Linked DNA regions of Macaca mulatta. The protein of the gene in region 1 purifies or fractionates together with the protein of each later gene. This does not show direct contact. Links are inferred from orthologs where the notes say so. Each region holds a gene or a part of one and is shown in the gene's direction. Other genes may lie near its edges.

What was found. The genes of interacting proteins can lie anywhere in the genome.
Region 2: the proteins of TOM1 (region 1) and CUEDC1 purify together in Homo sapiens (co-immunoprecipitation; 3 studies listed by BioGRID and IntAct, with this or other methods). This does not show direct contact. The link is inferred for Macaca mulatta from reciprocal best matches to the Homo sapiens genes TOM1 and CUEDC1.
Region 3: the proteins of TOM1 (region 1) and ZFYVE16 purify together in Homo sapiens (affinity purification with western blotting; 3 studies listed by BioGRID and IntAct, with this or other methods). This does not show direct contact. The link is inferred for Macaca mulatta from reciprocal best matches to the Homo sapiens genes TOM1 and ZFYVE16.
Region 4: the proteins of TOM1 (region 1) and CLTC purify together in Homo sapiens (affinity purification with western blotting, with the first as the bait; 3 studies listed by BioGRID). This does not show direct contact. The link is inferred for Macaca mulatta from reciprocal best matches to the Homo sapiens genes TOM1 and CLTC.

The regions. Positions count from the first base shown.
Region 1 is NC_133415.1:16,241,390-16,245,580, reverse strand, and holds the start of TOM1 (target of Myb1 membrane trafficking protein), read left to right. Parts: upstream 1-1,391; 5' UTR 1,392-1,504; coding exon 1,505-1,556; intron 1,557-3,865; exon of another isoform or gene 3,866-4,191.
Region 2 is NC_133421.1:52,116,470-52,119,969, forward strand, and holds part of CUEDC1 (CUE domain-containing protein 1), read left to right. Parts: intron 1-1,603; coding exon 1,604-1,730; intron 1,731-2,465; coding exon 2,466-2,658; intron 2,659-3,500.
Region 3 is NC_133411.1:86,801,680-86,804,791, forward strand, and holds part of ZFYVE16 (zinc finger FYVE domain-containing protein 16), read left to right. Parts: intron 1-251; coding exon 252-357; intron 358-1,191; coding exon 1,192-1,359; intron 1,360-2,648; exon of another isoform or gene 2,649-2,826; intron 2,827-3,112.
Region 4 is NC_133421.1:50,315,859-50,319,358, reverse strand, and holds part of CLTC (clathrin heavy chain 1), read left to right. Parts: intron 1-1,396; coding exon 1,397-1,560; intron 1,561-3,500. UniProt on the Homo sapiens protein: Clathrin is the major protein of the polyhedral coat of coated pits and vesicles. Two different adapter protein complexes link the clathrin lattice either to the plasma membrane or to the trans-Golgi network.

The DNA.
Region 1 (4,191 bases):
ATGGAGTTGTTTTTGTTTTTTGTTTTTTTGAGACGGAGTCTCGCTCTGTGGCCCAGGCTGGAGTGCAGTGGCATGATCTCAGCTCACTGCAAGCTCCGCCTCCCCGGTTCAGGCCATTCTCCTGCCTCTGCCTCCGGAGTAACTGGGACTACAGACGCCCGCCACCACGCCTGGCTGATTTTTTCTATTTTTTAGTAGAGACGGGGTTTCACCGTGTTAGCCAGGATAGTCTCAATCTCCTGACCTCGTGATCTGCCCGCCTCGGCCTCCCAGAGTACTGGGATTACAGGCGTGAGCCACCGCGCCTTGCTTAATTTAGGTTTTCTATCATCCAAAATTTGTGCAGTCAATTTACTAGTCTTTCAGATTTAAAAACCACAAACATTACAATAAATACTAAAGCACCCACAGTAGCCAGACTACTAAGGCCATGGTTATTGTATTTTTGGAGTACATGTCAGAAGAAAAGGTCATAACCCATAGATAGGTATCTAGTGTGTGGGGTCAGCAGACACACCACACACAGCCAGGAAGGCTGAAGAGATTAGTCTCAACGCTGGGAAAGGCCTTTGAGATTCTTAGCTTGGGGTCCACGGTTGTACTTCAGGGACCCCAGAAACTCCCTGAGGTTATAAGCAAAATTCTATCGCTGCTTTTTGTCTTCAGAAAGCCTCATGGCTTTTGTCAAATTCTCCAAGGAGACTGTGACCTAAATAAAATATTTTTTTTAAATGCTTACGAGTCCTTGATCTAATTCCAGTATCTAGAGAAAATGGGAGCTGTGTTTGGCTCACACAGTAAATTTATGGCAGAGATGGGTATCAAAGCCCCACTCGTGACTACATCTGCGCTTTCTGCCATCCTGGGCGCTAGAGGGAATTGCGCTGCAATTCATTCAATTATTTCTCAGTCTCAGTAGATGACAAACCCCTTGCCCTTACCTCTGATTTAAGGTAAGATAATTTGGGCTGCAAGCAGGGTGCATCTTGGAGCGGGGAGACCTTGACATCAAACAGGAAGAGTCCTATCGGGGCAAGGAGACAGCAGCCCAGAGAGGCTGTCACCCAGAGTAGGTGTGCAGTCACAGTGAGGTCCCAAGGACTAAGGTCTGTGACACTAAGAGTCTCGGCTTCTGTGTAATCTCACCCAAGTCACTTCCCTGGTCTACGACCCAGTTTCCCAAATGTGTAAAGGGTCCTTTAGACCCCGCCCTAAAAGGTCAGGGGCGTGGCTTAAAGAGGACCGCGCTTCCCGGGCCCCGCCCCCAGGCTCTACGTCGTGCGTGACGCCCGCCGCCGCCTAAGAAGCGACGATGAGGTCATCGCCCTCCGCCTCGGGGGCGGGACCCTGGCGCGTCAGGGCGGGGCCTGTGGTCCAGCTCCGCTCTGCCACCGCTCCGCCCACGCCTCCTCGCCGGCCTTCGGGTGCGTCACGTGACGGGTTGGCGGCGCTGGCGGTTGCTGTCAGCTGATTCCCGGGGTTGGTGGCAGCGGCAGTAGCAGCAATGGACTTTCTCCTGGGGAACCCGTTCAGCTCTCCAGTGGGACAGCGCATCGGTGAGTCCCTGGAGCCCCCCACAGCTCCGCCCCGGTGCTCCGCACCCAGCTTCGGTCCCCTGGGAAGCCTCCGGGTGCCTAGTCACTGAGGCAGGGAGGGCAATGAGGCTGGCGTGTAGCTCTCCGACTTGGCCCCGCCCAGCTTTCCTCCCACTCTTGATTGACAAGAACTTGGGCCATTAGGAAGCCTTGGCTTGTGATAGATGTATACGACAGCCAGTAGATAAGGAGAGAGGGCGGGTCCGGATGCCCACCTCGCAGCCAATGTGTGTCTGCTGGGGTCCCGAATCGAGGGAGAAAGTTTTCGGGGTTAAAGGGACTGCGTGGTTGGCAGTGGCTGGGCCGCTGTGCTGGGTCCCGCCGCCTGGGCTTTGGCCAGCTCCTTTCTGGCTCTCCGGGCTCTCCGGACATGGACACCTGAGAAGGGCTAGAAGTCCATTCTCCCAGGACCGCGAAGCCTGGGGCTTGGCGTCTTGGGGGCGACTGGCCAGAGGGGACCCAGCGCCAGACAGCCCGCGGCCAGGCCTCACAGACCCGGATCTCAGGACGTGTCCGCCTGGGCTCTTATCTCGACCCAGCCTCAAATGGACCCGCACAGACTCTGAGAACCTGAGCAGAAAGTGGTCGGAGAAACCCTCCGGGTCAGCCCACCTCGGTGCTCCGTAGGTGGGGCAGCCCGGCGCTCGAGCCAAGCCGAGCCCAGGGCACCTGGCGCCTGAGTGCTGGTCCGTGGTTCTTTGCACCCTGGTGACAGGATACTTATAGTTCTATGACGCAGCCTCCCTGGGCGGAGGTTTCCTCACCTGTAATTGGCGGGTAATAATGGTCCTTACCTCCGTGGGCTTGTTGTGAAAATTAAATTCCTTAATAAATGTGAAATACTTAGAACAATGCCTGGTACGTGGCCAGTGCCATATAAAAAAACAGTTGTGATATTTATTAGCATTGGGCTGGGCGCAGTGGCTCCCGACTGTAATCCCAGCACTTTGGGAAGCCAAGGCGGGCAGATCGCTTGAGCCCAGGAGTTCGAGACCAGCCTGGGCAACATGGCGAGACCCCCGTCTCTACAAAAAAAAAAACAAAAATACAGAAATTAGCCGGGCGTGGTGGTGTGTGCCTGTGCTCCCAGCCACTCGGTAGGCAGAGCTGGGAGGATTGGTTGCACCTGGGAGGTCAGGGCTGCGTGAGCCCTGATGGCGCCACTGTACTCCAGCCTGGACGACGCAGGGAGATCCTATCTCTTGAAATACATACATACACACACCCACATTATATATAAATATACACATACATACATGTACATATACATACACATACATACATGTATATATTTACACACCCACATTGTTCCTGAGATACCACCAAGTGAAGGTTAGGAATCCCTGGAAATCACTGGGCAGTAGGTCTCATAAGTGCTCGTTCTTGGACACCAACACCGTGAGAACCGACATGCCTTGACCCAAACAGCCACACTTCTCCAGAGGATGGTCTGGGTGTTCCCCATTCTTGCATGAAGAAACCATCGCATTTCCGTGAAATCACTCTTTATCTTTTTTGATGATGACTTTTGGTCTTAAGTCCATACTGGGAAAACTTTAAGACGAGACATTCTTTCCATTCTTACTGTCTTGCCAAACCTCACGAAAGCTTGTCGACCCGGCTCTGTGTTGTAATCGCCACCGTGGCTGTTGGTGGCTCTTCCGAGGGTTTTGTAATCAGTGCTCTCCAAGGGGGAGGTGGCAGTCCAGGATTTACACACCAGGAAGCTCCTGAACCAGGGAGAGGAACTGCCCTCTCAAAGGACCCCCGACCTCCCCTAGACACACCCACCCCACAGTGAGTCATGGTTTTTTGGAGCTGAGAAAAGAAAGCAGCTCTCCTCTCATCTTTATTTCTCTGACTACAGAAACCACTGCTTTTATCACATGCCAAGTTTAAGACTTACTACTTAAAAATAAACAAGTAAATAAAAGACCCGGCTTCAAAGTCAGCCGCATACTCTTAAGGCTTTCTGGAAAGCTCACCTGGGTTCTGGATTTCAGCTAGTCAAAGCAAGCTTCTCTTCTTACCCTGAAGGGTTGCCTTTCTTGGGCAAGAAATACTCCCGTGCAAAGAGAATGCTATTAAATCATCATACCTTAGAGCACAAATAGAATTTTACAGCTAAAAGAGCTTTGCCTTTGGAATTTTCTAACCCAGTGGTTCTCAGCAGCATTCCTAGGAAGGCGTGTTAAAGCAAATGATATCTGGGCCCCAACTCCAGAGTTTCTGACCCTCTAGGTCTGCAGTGGGACTCTAGCATGTGAAAATCTTTTTTTTTTTTTTTCTTTTTTTTTGAGACGGAGTTTCGCTCTCATTGCCCAGGCTGGAGTGCAATGGTACAGTCTTGGTTCACTGCAACCTCCGCCTCCCGGGTTCAAGCGATTCTCCTGCCTCAGCTTCCCAAGTAGCTGGGATTACAGGCACGCGCCATCACACCCAGCTAATTTTGTATTTTTAATAGAGACGGGGTTTCTCCATGTTGGCCAGGCTGGTCTCAAACTCCTGACCTCAGGTGATCCACCCACCTTAGCCTCCCAAAGTGCTGGAATTACAGGCATGAGCCACCGCGTCCAGCCTAGAATGTGAATTTCTG
Region 2 (3,500 bases), on another chromosome or scaffold:
TCTGAGGTTCTCCCTCCGCTGCTTTCCTGGGTGGCTCCGAGGTGTGGTTAAGTTGGGGGTGGGCACCCGTGTCCCAGATGAAGACCCTGAGACCCCAAGAACGGGTAATACCCCTGGTGAGGGTCCCTCCCTGCTGTAGCCTGGGGTGGTCTGCGAGTCCCTGAGAGATGGGGCTTCCTCACTCCCCATCTCTGGCCTTTGGAGAAAAATGAAGCCTCCAACAGTGGCAGAAGGTGGCAGTGATGTAGAAAAAATTTGGCCTAGGAATGGGAGTCCCGGGTTGTGATGCAAGCTCCTCTCCAGACCATTCCCTCTCCCCTTGTGTCTGTGCAGCCAGAGGGTGGACGAGGCGTGCTGGGGTTCCCTTGGCTCCAGTCTGCAAGAGCTGAGCTCCCACCAGGCACTTAGCAGCTGGTTATCCCGTCTGCTGCCGCCCCCGCCCCTTCCCCTCGCCCCCGCCGCCGGCCACCCGCCCAAAATAGAAAAGGAAAGGAAGTTATTTCCATAGTCAGCTGCAGCCCGGAAAAGCTCCCCTCCAGTGAGGGGGCGGGCGGGATTCCTGGAGCTGGAGACCAAATCAAAGCCAGGCCCGAGAGAGCGAGAGCGGCCCCCACCGCCCGGCCCTCGGCTGCCTTCTCAGTGTGCCGTTTCCCTGACTCAGCGGAACACGTGTCCTGCGGTTGCCACGCTGCAGGCTGCCATGGAGCTGTGGGGAGCTCCTGGCTGGGCTCCGAGCTGCCCTCAGGCCCAGGGCGGTAGGGCGGGAGCCTGGGGGTCAGGGAGGGTGTGTGTGCCACCCCCTCTTCCTCTACTGCCTTGCCCAGCTGTTGGCTCTGCCATGGCACGGAGCTCCTGCCACACACACACCAGGCCTGGAAAGAGTGGTCCCAGAGCACCCTGAGAGGGAGATCCCTTCCACACTCACCTCTCCACACACTTTTCAGAACACTGCTCAGGACATGGCCTCCTGAGGGGCTCCCCAGTACCTGGGCAGGGAGGCAGCAGTTTCTAGCTAAGGAAACCGAACCCGAGAGGGGAACAGGGGCCCACCTAAGACTACCCCGCCGGCTGATGGTTGAGCCAGAACTGGAGCTTGGATCTGCTTTACCCTCTGTACGGATCCTGGCGTCCCCATATGCCCCCTCTTCAGCAAACCAACATGCAGCAGGCTGTGCTGTTGGTGGCTTATGTGTCTGTTCCTTTGGACCATACCTGTCACTCAGCACCGTGAGCCTGGCACTGTGTAGGTGCTAGCATAGAAGCATGAAAGGATACAATCCCTGCTGTCTTTAGGGCACATTTGTAAACATCTATAGCTAAATCCACAGAGTTCCACATGTGCACCATGGACAGACAGCGCTGAAGGTCTAGAGACCTGGGCGGGCATGTGACTGGACAGCATGAATGGCTGGGGAGTTCGCTGAGGCCGGTGGAGACATCTCCAGTGATGACACAAAGTGATGGGCCTTTGTTCTGGGGGCAGTGGAGGCCATGGGAATCTCTGAGCAGGATCTGACCTGCCTGAGGACCTGGTGTGATGGGGCCAGGAGACCTGGGGTTGGGCTTAATGACTCCCTCTTCCCTGTCACCTCCCATCCCCTAGTATCGACGTGCTGAGCTCTGCAGCCCCTACAAGCCAGAGACGCTATCGGAACTGGAACCCACCACTACTGGGCAACCTCCCGGATGACTTTCTCCGCATCCTCCCCCAGCAGCTGGACAGCATACAGGTAACAGGGGCCGCCCCCGCCTTCCACTCCCACCTGCCTGTCCAGCATCTCTCTTTGCCCACACAATTTGTGCCAGCCAGTTTTACTTCCTGATGTTTAAACCCAGGCTGAGCTATTTCTGTTGCCCTGGGTTCGTAGGGAAAGAATGCTGAACTGAAAGCCTCACTTCCTGCCTGGGTCTGGAGGTTTCCTGTTCTATCCAGGGAAGGTGGCAGCCTAAGGAGGCTGTCTGCTGCAGCAGTCACCTCAGGCTGGAGAGAGGCGGGCATGGGGTGGCCAATGGTGGAGGGCCAGAGCACCCCCCTTCCTCCCTCGGGAAAGGGCCAGAGGCAGCTTCTCGATAGATGTTGGCATGCTCCAAGGTGCCCCACAGCGGGGCAGGTCCACCCTGAGGCTGCCGGTGCCGGGAGAGGGTTGAGTTTGGGAATCCACGTATAGGCTGTTCCACAGTTTGCAGATTTCTTTTCAGGACTGTTCAGGTTGTAGATGAAGGTATGAGGTGGTCCGTGGCGTGGAGGAAAAATAGTTTTTAGGCTACTGCTGTGTCCCCTGCAATGAGGGCTCTGACCTGTCCGTTGGATTTTGGCTTGCCACTAGGTTCCATTAGGAGGTGTGAGCCTCAGGTGAGGGCTAGAGGATCTTGGACAGGGCGTGTGTGCAACCAGAGGGATGTGGATGTTTGTGCAACATGTACCCTTGTGTGTACACGTTCAACATGCTCGCCTCCCTCCTCAGGGTAATGCTGGGGGCCCCAAGCCTGGGAGCGGAGACGGAGGTCCACCTGCCATGACTGGGCCAGGGCCCCGAGACCAGGAGAGCCGCTGGAAGCAGTACCTGGAGGATGAGAGGATCGCGCTTTTCCTACAGAACGAGGAGTTCATGAAGGAGCTGCAACGAAACCGCGACTTCCTCCTTGCCCTGGAGAGAGGTGGGCAGTGCCTGCAGCCACTTCTCCCTGGCTGAAGAAGGGAGGTGATGCTGGCTTTAGCCTTGGGGCTCAGGAAAGCACTGAGCTGGGGGCTGAGGGGCCAGGTGCTTTCTGTCCTACTGAGCCTTGACTCCCACCAAGTTATCCCATGGGAGCCTCAGAATTCTGCCTATGGGGACCTGGGTCACTAACCCACCCCTTTCTCCCTCGGGACTCAGAGGAAGAAGGGTGTGCACTCTTAGGCCTTCTTCCCTTTGCACACCTGCTCTGTGCCAGGAACTGGCCTTGGCACAAGGCAGCAGGGAGAAGAGCACTGCCCCTCCTCACAGAGCCCCAGCCCCAAGGCAGGCGTGATGTGTCTGGAGCTCCGGGAACAGAATGACTGGGTTCGTGAACGCCAGGGTTGGGGAGGCTCTTGAGTGGAAGACCTTAGAGCAGGGGCTCTGGAACTTTGCAGGTATTTGGGTTGTCTCTGGGTTGGAGACCCTGCTCCCCAGCCTGGCTACCTTTCCCCTGCAGGGTGGGAGTGCGTTTGGGATAGAGGAAATGAGAGGGCGGTGGAGCTCTGTCCCTGTGATGGCCACAGCGTGAGAGCTTGTGTGTGTAACTGATGGTGTGTTGGTGGGGGAGGAGCAAGTTGTGCAGGGAGAAGGCTGGGCTGAGGCCCAAGGTTAGCCCCAGCTCTGCAGCAAAGGTGCTGGAAGGCTCAAGGCCTTTCCGTTTATTATTTATTTATTTATTTTTTTGAGACAGAGTCTCCCTCTTGTCGCCCAGGTTGAAATGCAGTGGCTCAATCTCGGCTCACTGCAATCTCCGCCTCCCAGGTTCAAGTGTTTCTCCTG
Region 3 (3,112 bases), on another chromosome or scaffold:
GTATTTTAAACTTCAGGTCTGAATTGGGCATATGAAAAAGGAGATATAATTTATTGATGAACAAAAAAAGATTACTACACAATCAAGAAATCTTGGTAAATGAATATGAACTACAGATTTAATTATTTTATATATAATGGAGATATCTTCTTTTATATTTTTTCTCTTATTCCGTCTGTTCACATCTAATAATTCATTTCAAAAAACACATTAGTGCCAATAATTCTATTGTATTATGTTTTATTTCATAGTGTTACCAGTTCAGTGGATGGAATGTCATTACAAGGATTTCCAAGTGAAAAAATAAAACTGGAAGCAGATTTTGAAACTGATGAGAAGATTGTAAAGTGTACCGAGGTAGCTAAGGAAGAAGGTCCCTTTACATGCTGTGTTTCAGTATGATTTTTGTTCTTTGGAGATTGTGCATACTCAATCTCTAAATATTTATGCATAGCTTATTATACTTTTTATGCTACACTTTGAGACACACACATTTCCACCCCAGACTTTTATACACCAGAATTGGTTTCCATAGGGTTAGTTCAGGCTATCAAATGGTGGTACTGCCTACCATCTGTGTTGGCAGCATTGCCATCTTAGTACTGTAATTAATGTTACTTGACCATATTTTCATTTTCCTCAGATATTATGAAAAATAAGATATTTTATTGTCATTTATTTATAATCAGCATTCACATATGAAAGTTATTTTTTCATGCTTTAGTATTTTCTTTAAATTAGAGGATATGAAACTATAGACCCCCAACTCCTTAGTCTACCTCCTTATTCCCCCTCATATTTATTTCTTACGCATTCTTTGTGATTTTATTACATGTGCAAAATAGAACCTATAGAGAAAATAAGCACAATGGAACATGATTTGTTTTATCTTAACTTCATATAGGTGTTCTTTACAGGATAGACTCATACTGATTTAATAAGGCTTTCCTTGCTACAAATTAACTTCAGGCAAAAATTGCTGAGACGTTTCCATATTTACCATAACTTTTGGTTTTATGTTTTTACTTATAGTACAGATCAAGCTATTGATATTGAATTCTCACAACTAATGATTTTCGTGGTACTTTACATTGGAATTTAATTAAACTTGAATTGAAAGCAGCAATTGTTGCATTTTAAAGTTACTTTTAATTTTAATCATGACTTGTTGCCTAATTAAATATATTTCAGGTGTTCTACTTTCTAAAGGAACAGGATTTATCTATTTTATCAACTTGTTATCAGTTTGCAAAAGAAATAGCCATGGCTTGTAGTGCTGCCCTGTGCCCTCACCTGAAAACTCTGAAGAGTAATGGGATGAATAAAATTGGACTCAGAGTTTCCACTGACACTGATATGGTGAGGCCTGTTTTTGTGATGTATTTTTGAAATGAATGTATTGCATATTAAAATAGTGAAGTTTTTCTTCAACCTTTTGAGATGAAAGAGAATGAAAATTGTTGAGCATCAAATGTGTGCTACACACTTCACATATATTATCTGTATTAATCTCCACAACAGGGGTCAGCAAACTTTTTTCATAAAAGGACAGACAGTAACTATTTTGGACATTGTAGGCAGTATGGTTTCTTTCACAACTACTCAACACTACCGTTATATTGGGAAAGCAGCCATTCACAGTATGTAAACAAATAAGTGTGGCTATGTTCCAGTGAAATTTTGTTTACCCAGTGGGGCCAAGTTTGGCCTGTAGGCCATAGTTTACTGAACCCTTCTCCATGACTACTCTGCCTTTTATAGGTAGGTTTTTAAATTTACTTATTCTGATTAGATTCTATATGTACATGACTTAAAATCTTAAAAGTCTAAAAGTGTATATATAACAGGACCACCTCACTGAATATTTGCAGAGAGCAGCATTCACACTGTATTCTATGTAACTGGTGGACTCAAGATAATAACTCCAGACTACAATGTAAATGGTTCCCAGTAGAGTTGTATAAGGCAACAGCCTTGGAAATGTCTTTCCTACTGTTGACATCCAACCCATCAGTTCACCTCCATACTTTTCTTTATCCTCCCTCTCCGGCCAAGCAATCAGTGTTACTCATTTCTTATGTATTCTTTGTGATTTTATGCATGTACAAGCAAATAAGTGTGTGTCCTCCTTTTTCATCTCCCCCTTTTACAGATTTTTTACCTTCTTTAATATATCTTAAAGGTATTAGTACTAGTATACATTTTTTTTAAAGTGACATAGTAGTTGATTATATAAATGTACCATAATTTATCTAACTCGTTATTCGTGCATATTTGATATATGTTGATAGACATTCAGGTTGTCCACAATATTTTGCTTTTACATAGTATAAGTATATCTATAAGAAGAATTCTGAGTAGAATTTCCAGGCCTGAGTATATACTCAATAGATGTTACCATATTATCGCATATAGAGGTTATGTCAATTTATATTTATTTTCTCCAGCAATTTATGAGAGCTCTTTCCCCCACATCCTTTTTTTGAGACAGAGTCTCATTCTGCCACCCAGGCTAGAGTGCAGTGGCATGATTTTGGCTCACTGCAGCCTCTACCCTCTGGGTTCCAGCAGTTCTCCTGCCTCAGCCTCCCAAGTAGCTGGGACTACAGGCATGTGCCACCACACCTTGCTAATATTTGTATTTTTAGCAGACATGGGGTTTCACCATGTTGGCTGGACCAGTCTTGAACTCTTGACCTCACGTGATCCGCCCACCTTGGCCTCCCAAATGCTGGGATTATAGATGTGAGCCACGGCACCTGGCCTCCCCCACATCCTTATCAAAGAAGTATATAATCAAACTTTTGAACTTGGACAATTTGATAGGTAAAAAATAATACCGCGTTACTATTAATATTATTACTTTTTAAAGAGATGGGGTCTCACTGTGTTTCCCAGGCTGGTCTTGAACTCCTGGGCTCAAGCAATTCTCCTGCCTCGGCCTCCCAAAGTGTTGGGATTATAGGTGTGAGCCACCACGCCTGGCCCCCGGTGTTATTTTAATGCATATTTCTCTTAACAAGGAGTGATAATCATTTTGCATGTAAAAACAATTGGTTTTTCTTTCAACTTTCAGTTCAAATCTGTTAGGAAAATATTTCTAATTTTTTAG
Region 4 (3,500 bases), on another chromosome or scaffold:
GAAATTGGATTTTCAGATTAGGGATGCTGATCAGGTAATTATAAAGCGAATATTCCAAAGTTGAAAATTTGAAACATGTCTGGTCTCAAGTATTTTGGATAGGGGATACTCAATCTGTACTAATGATCGGGTATAATAACATTTTATGCTTATATGTCTGACTCTTACAATAGCAGGTGATTCTCGCCAAGGGCATTTTGTGATTTGTTGCTATTTAGCAGAATTTCTTAACCTTAGTACTATAGACATTTAAGGCTGGATAATCATTGTAGAGGGGTATTCCTGTAGATGTAGAATATTTAGTAGAATATTTAGCAGCATTCCTGGTTTCTACCCACTAGATGCCAGTAGCGTCAGCTCCACCAGTTGTGACAACCAAAAATGTCTTCAGACATTGCCAGTGTCACCTGTGAGGAAAATCACCTCAGTTGAGAACCACTGCTATGCAGGGAACTAACGTAATCACTGTTGGGTGGCTAAGTTCTGGTCCTCAATTGCCTTTCTCTCCTCTTTGTAGTAGTAGTGCTCTATTGAGAAGGGGTAAGAGAGTCTACTAGTTTTCTTAATGTTTTCTTAATTTTCACAGTTTTACACTGTTTAGTACAGCAGTCACTAGCCACATATAGCAGCTATTTACATTGAAAGTTATTAAAATTAAATAAAATTTAATATTTAGTTATTCAGTCACTCTAGCCACATTTCAAGTGCTTAATAGCCACGTGTGGTTAGTGGCTATTACATCGGGGGGCAAAGATAAGATTTTCATCATTGCAGAAAGTTCTTCTGGACAATACTGCACTAAATTCTTCCCAAATTATTTTGTATGTTTCCTATAAACTGCATATTGAAAAACACCAGGTATTGGGGTCTTCATTTAAAATTTCCCATATAGGGGCACAGTGGTATATGCCTTTAATAATCCCAGTGCTTTGGGAGGCCAAGGCAGGAGGATTGCTTGAGGCCACAAATTCAAGACCAGCCTGGGTAACACAGCAAGACCCCATCTCTACAAAAATTTTCTTAAAAATTAGCCTGGCATAGTGGCATGCACCTACCTACTTAGGAGGTTGAGGTAGGAGGATTGCTTGATCCCAGGAGTTTGAGGCTGCAGTGAGCTATGATCGTGCCACTGCACTCCAGCCTGGGTGACAGAGACCTGCCTCAATAAAAAAGAAAAAAAGGAAACATTGGGTTGAATTGTCTGTTCTTTAGGATTAAAGTGCAAATCCATTTTACTGATCTGATTAATGGAATAATTAGTATTTTTATCGAGCTTTTTAAGCAACCAACTTATATTTGGGAGTATTCAATGTAACAGTTTTTTAATTGCATAAATGCTTTTCAGTCATTCTCAAAAGTGTGCCTATGCTTAATTGTAATTACTTGTTTCTTTAAGGTCTCTTTTATTTTCTGGGATCCATTGTTAACTTTAGTCAGGACCCAGATGTGCACTTTAAATACATTCAGGCAGCTTGCAAGACTGGGCAAATCAAAGAAGTAGAAAGAATCTGTAGAGAAAGCAACTGCTATGATCCTGAGCGAGTCAAGAATTTTCTTAAGGTAAGTGGTTTTGAGTAACGTGTTTTCTGGTTGGATTCCAGTTTAGCAGTTCTACAAGGGTTTGGTCGTAGTTCAAAAATATTTTTTCCCTAAATGTGAAATTGTTAGCATTCTTAAGTTGTGTGCTGGATTATTTCTTCCAAACATAATACTCTGTGGTTTCCTTTGAAATACGGAAGGAAATCGGTGAGTAAGAATGACCATCTGTTTAAAAGAAGAAAAAAAATAGCATTATTTCAAAGGAATTTCCTTTATTTTAATTTTGGATGGAAAAATTTAGAAAAGTGGTTATATACTTTCAGAGTCATTTGAGAATCATTTAGGCTTTTGAATATTAACATCAGCTTGCTCTTCATACCATTTTGAGGAGCCTCTATGGTAGGCAAAGGGATCTGTTATCTAAGGAATGTATAGGCTTACCTCTTTCATCAAGTTTGCCCAACTCTAGAAACTAAAATATTTTTCATATATAATTCATAAATTAAAGATAAGATCAAACAAAATGCTCAGCTTTGTGATACATGAAATGAGTTATAGAGAAGTAAGGACCACCTGTGTTGCAGGGAGGAGTAATGGTCGAGACATTCTGAACTCTAGAAGATCCCTAAGGGCAGTTAATTTTGTTTAATGTTTAACTTAGCTTTAGCTTTATTCTACCAGTTACTTTGTGAGGGAAATAAAACTTTAAAGTTGATAGCTATCTCTAAAAGACCAGGAAAACTACAGAACACTTAGATTACTGCTCTCTCACTGCCTATTATGTGTGTGTGTGTATTTTATATATATATATAAAATGATTCCTGAGACTTTATAGAAAGTGCTGAAGTATTTTTTGTCTTGGAAGAATTTTAAATTACAAGTGAAACCAAAATGTTTATTGTAGAATACAGTACAAAAAGTAGGCTTTTCCTGCTCCCAGACCATCATCATTTGTGCCTGTGGTTGCACTGGCAGATTGTTCTTTTGAAGAATTTACTACCTGGGCTCTAGATGAAATAGCAAAACCCTTAGGGATTTTAGTGTAATGAGGTAGTCAAAATGTTGAAATTGCTCTACATTTTAGATTAAAAGATACACTTTTCAAAAAAGTGTAGCTTTATAATGTCTTTGGCCATCATGAATATTCTGGGTAACCTAGCTAGTATGCTATGTTTGGACCAAAACTTTCTGGTATCAAAAAACCCCTCCAGATGAGAAAGATTTGATACTCTATGCTTGACTAGTGTACCCATACTACTGATTCACTTCCTTCTGTGAGTATCATTACTATTTCCTTCCAAAAAAAAAAAAAAAAAAAACTGCTACCAGATTCTTTTGGGGGCAGGGGGTGTTGGGGGTTTTTTGTTGTTTTTCAGCTTTGAAGTTCAGGTGCATGGGCAGGTTTGTTATATAGGTAAACTTGTGTCATGGGGGTTTGTTGTACAGATTGTTTCGTCACCCAGGTATTAAGCCTACAACCCATTAGTTTTTTTTCCTGATCCTCTCCCTCTTCCCATCCTCCACCCTTCAGTAGGCCCCAGTGTCTGTTGTTCCTGTGTCCATGTGTTCTCATCATTTATCTCCCACTTACTAGTGAGAACATGCAGTATTTGGTTTTCTGTTCCTGTGTTAATACTACTAGATTCTTACATGATTTTTGTTTTTATTGAGTCCTCAGCTTTTATGCTTAAATTGTAACTTCTTTAGCTTTGGATTTTAATATTTGAGTTACATATATATGGAAGGCAAAATGAAGTTAACTGCTATCATTTAATTATCACATTCTTGAGCTTTAAAAAAATCCTCTAGTAAAGACATAAAAAATAATCCTCTGGGTACTAGGATGGTACTGCCTTAGGTTTGCATATCCCATGGGATCTAATCAGATGAAGATTTCCCCTCCACACTTGTGAATTAGGTGCAAGCCTGATATAGTAGGGGTGTGGATGTGGATTATGAGC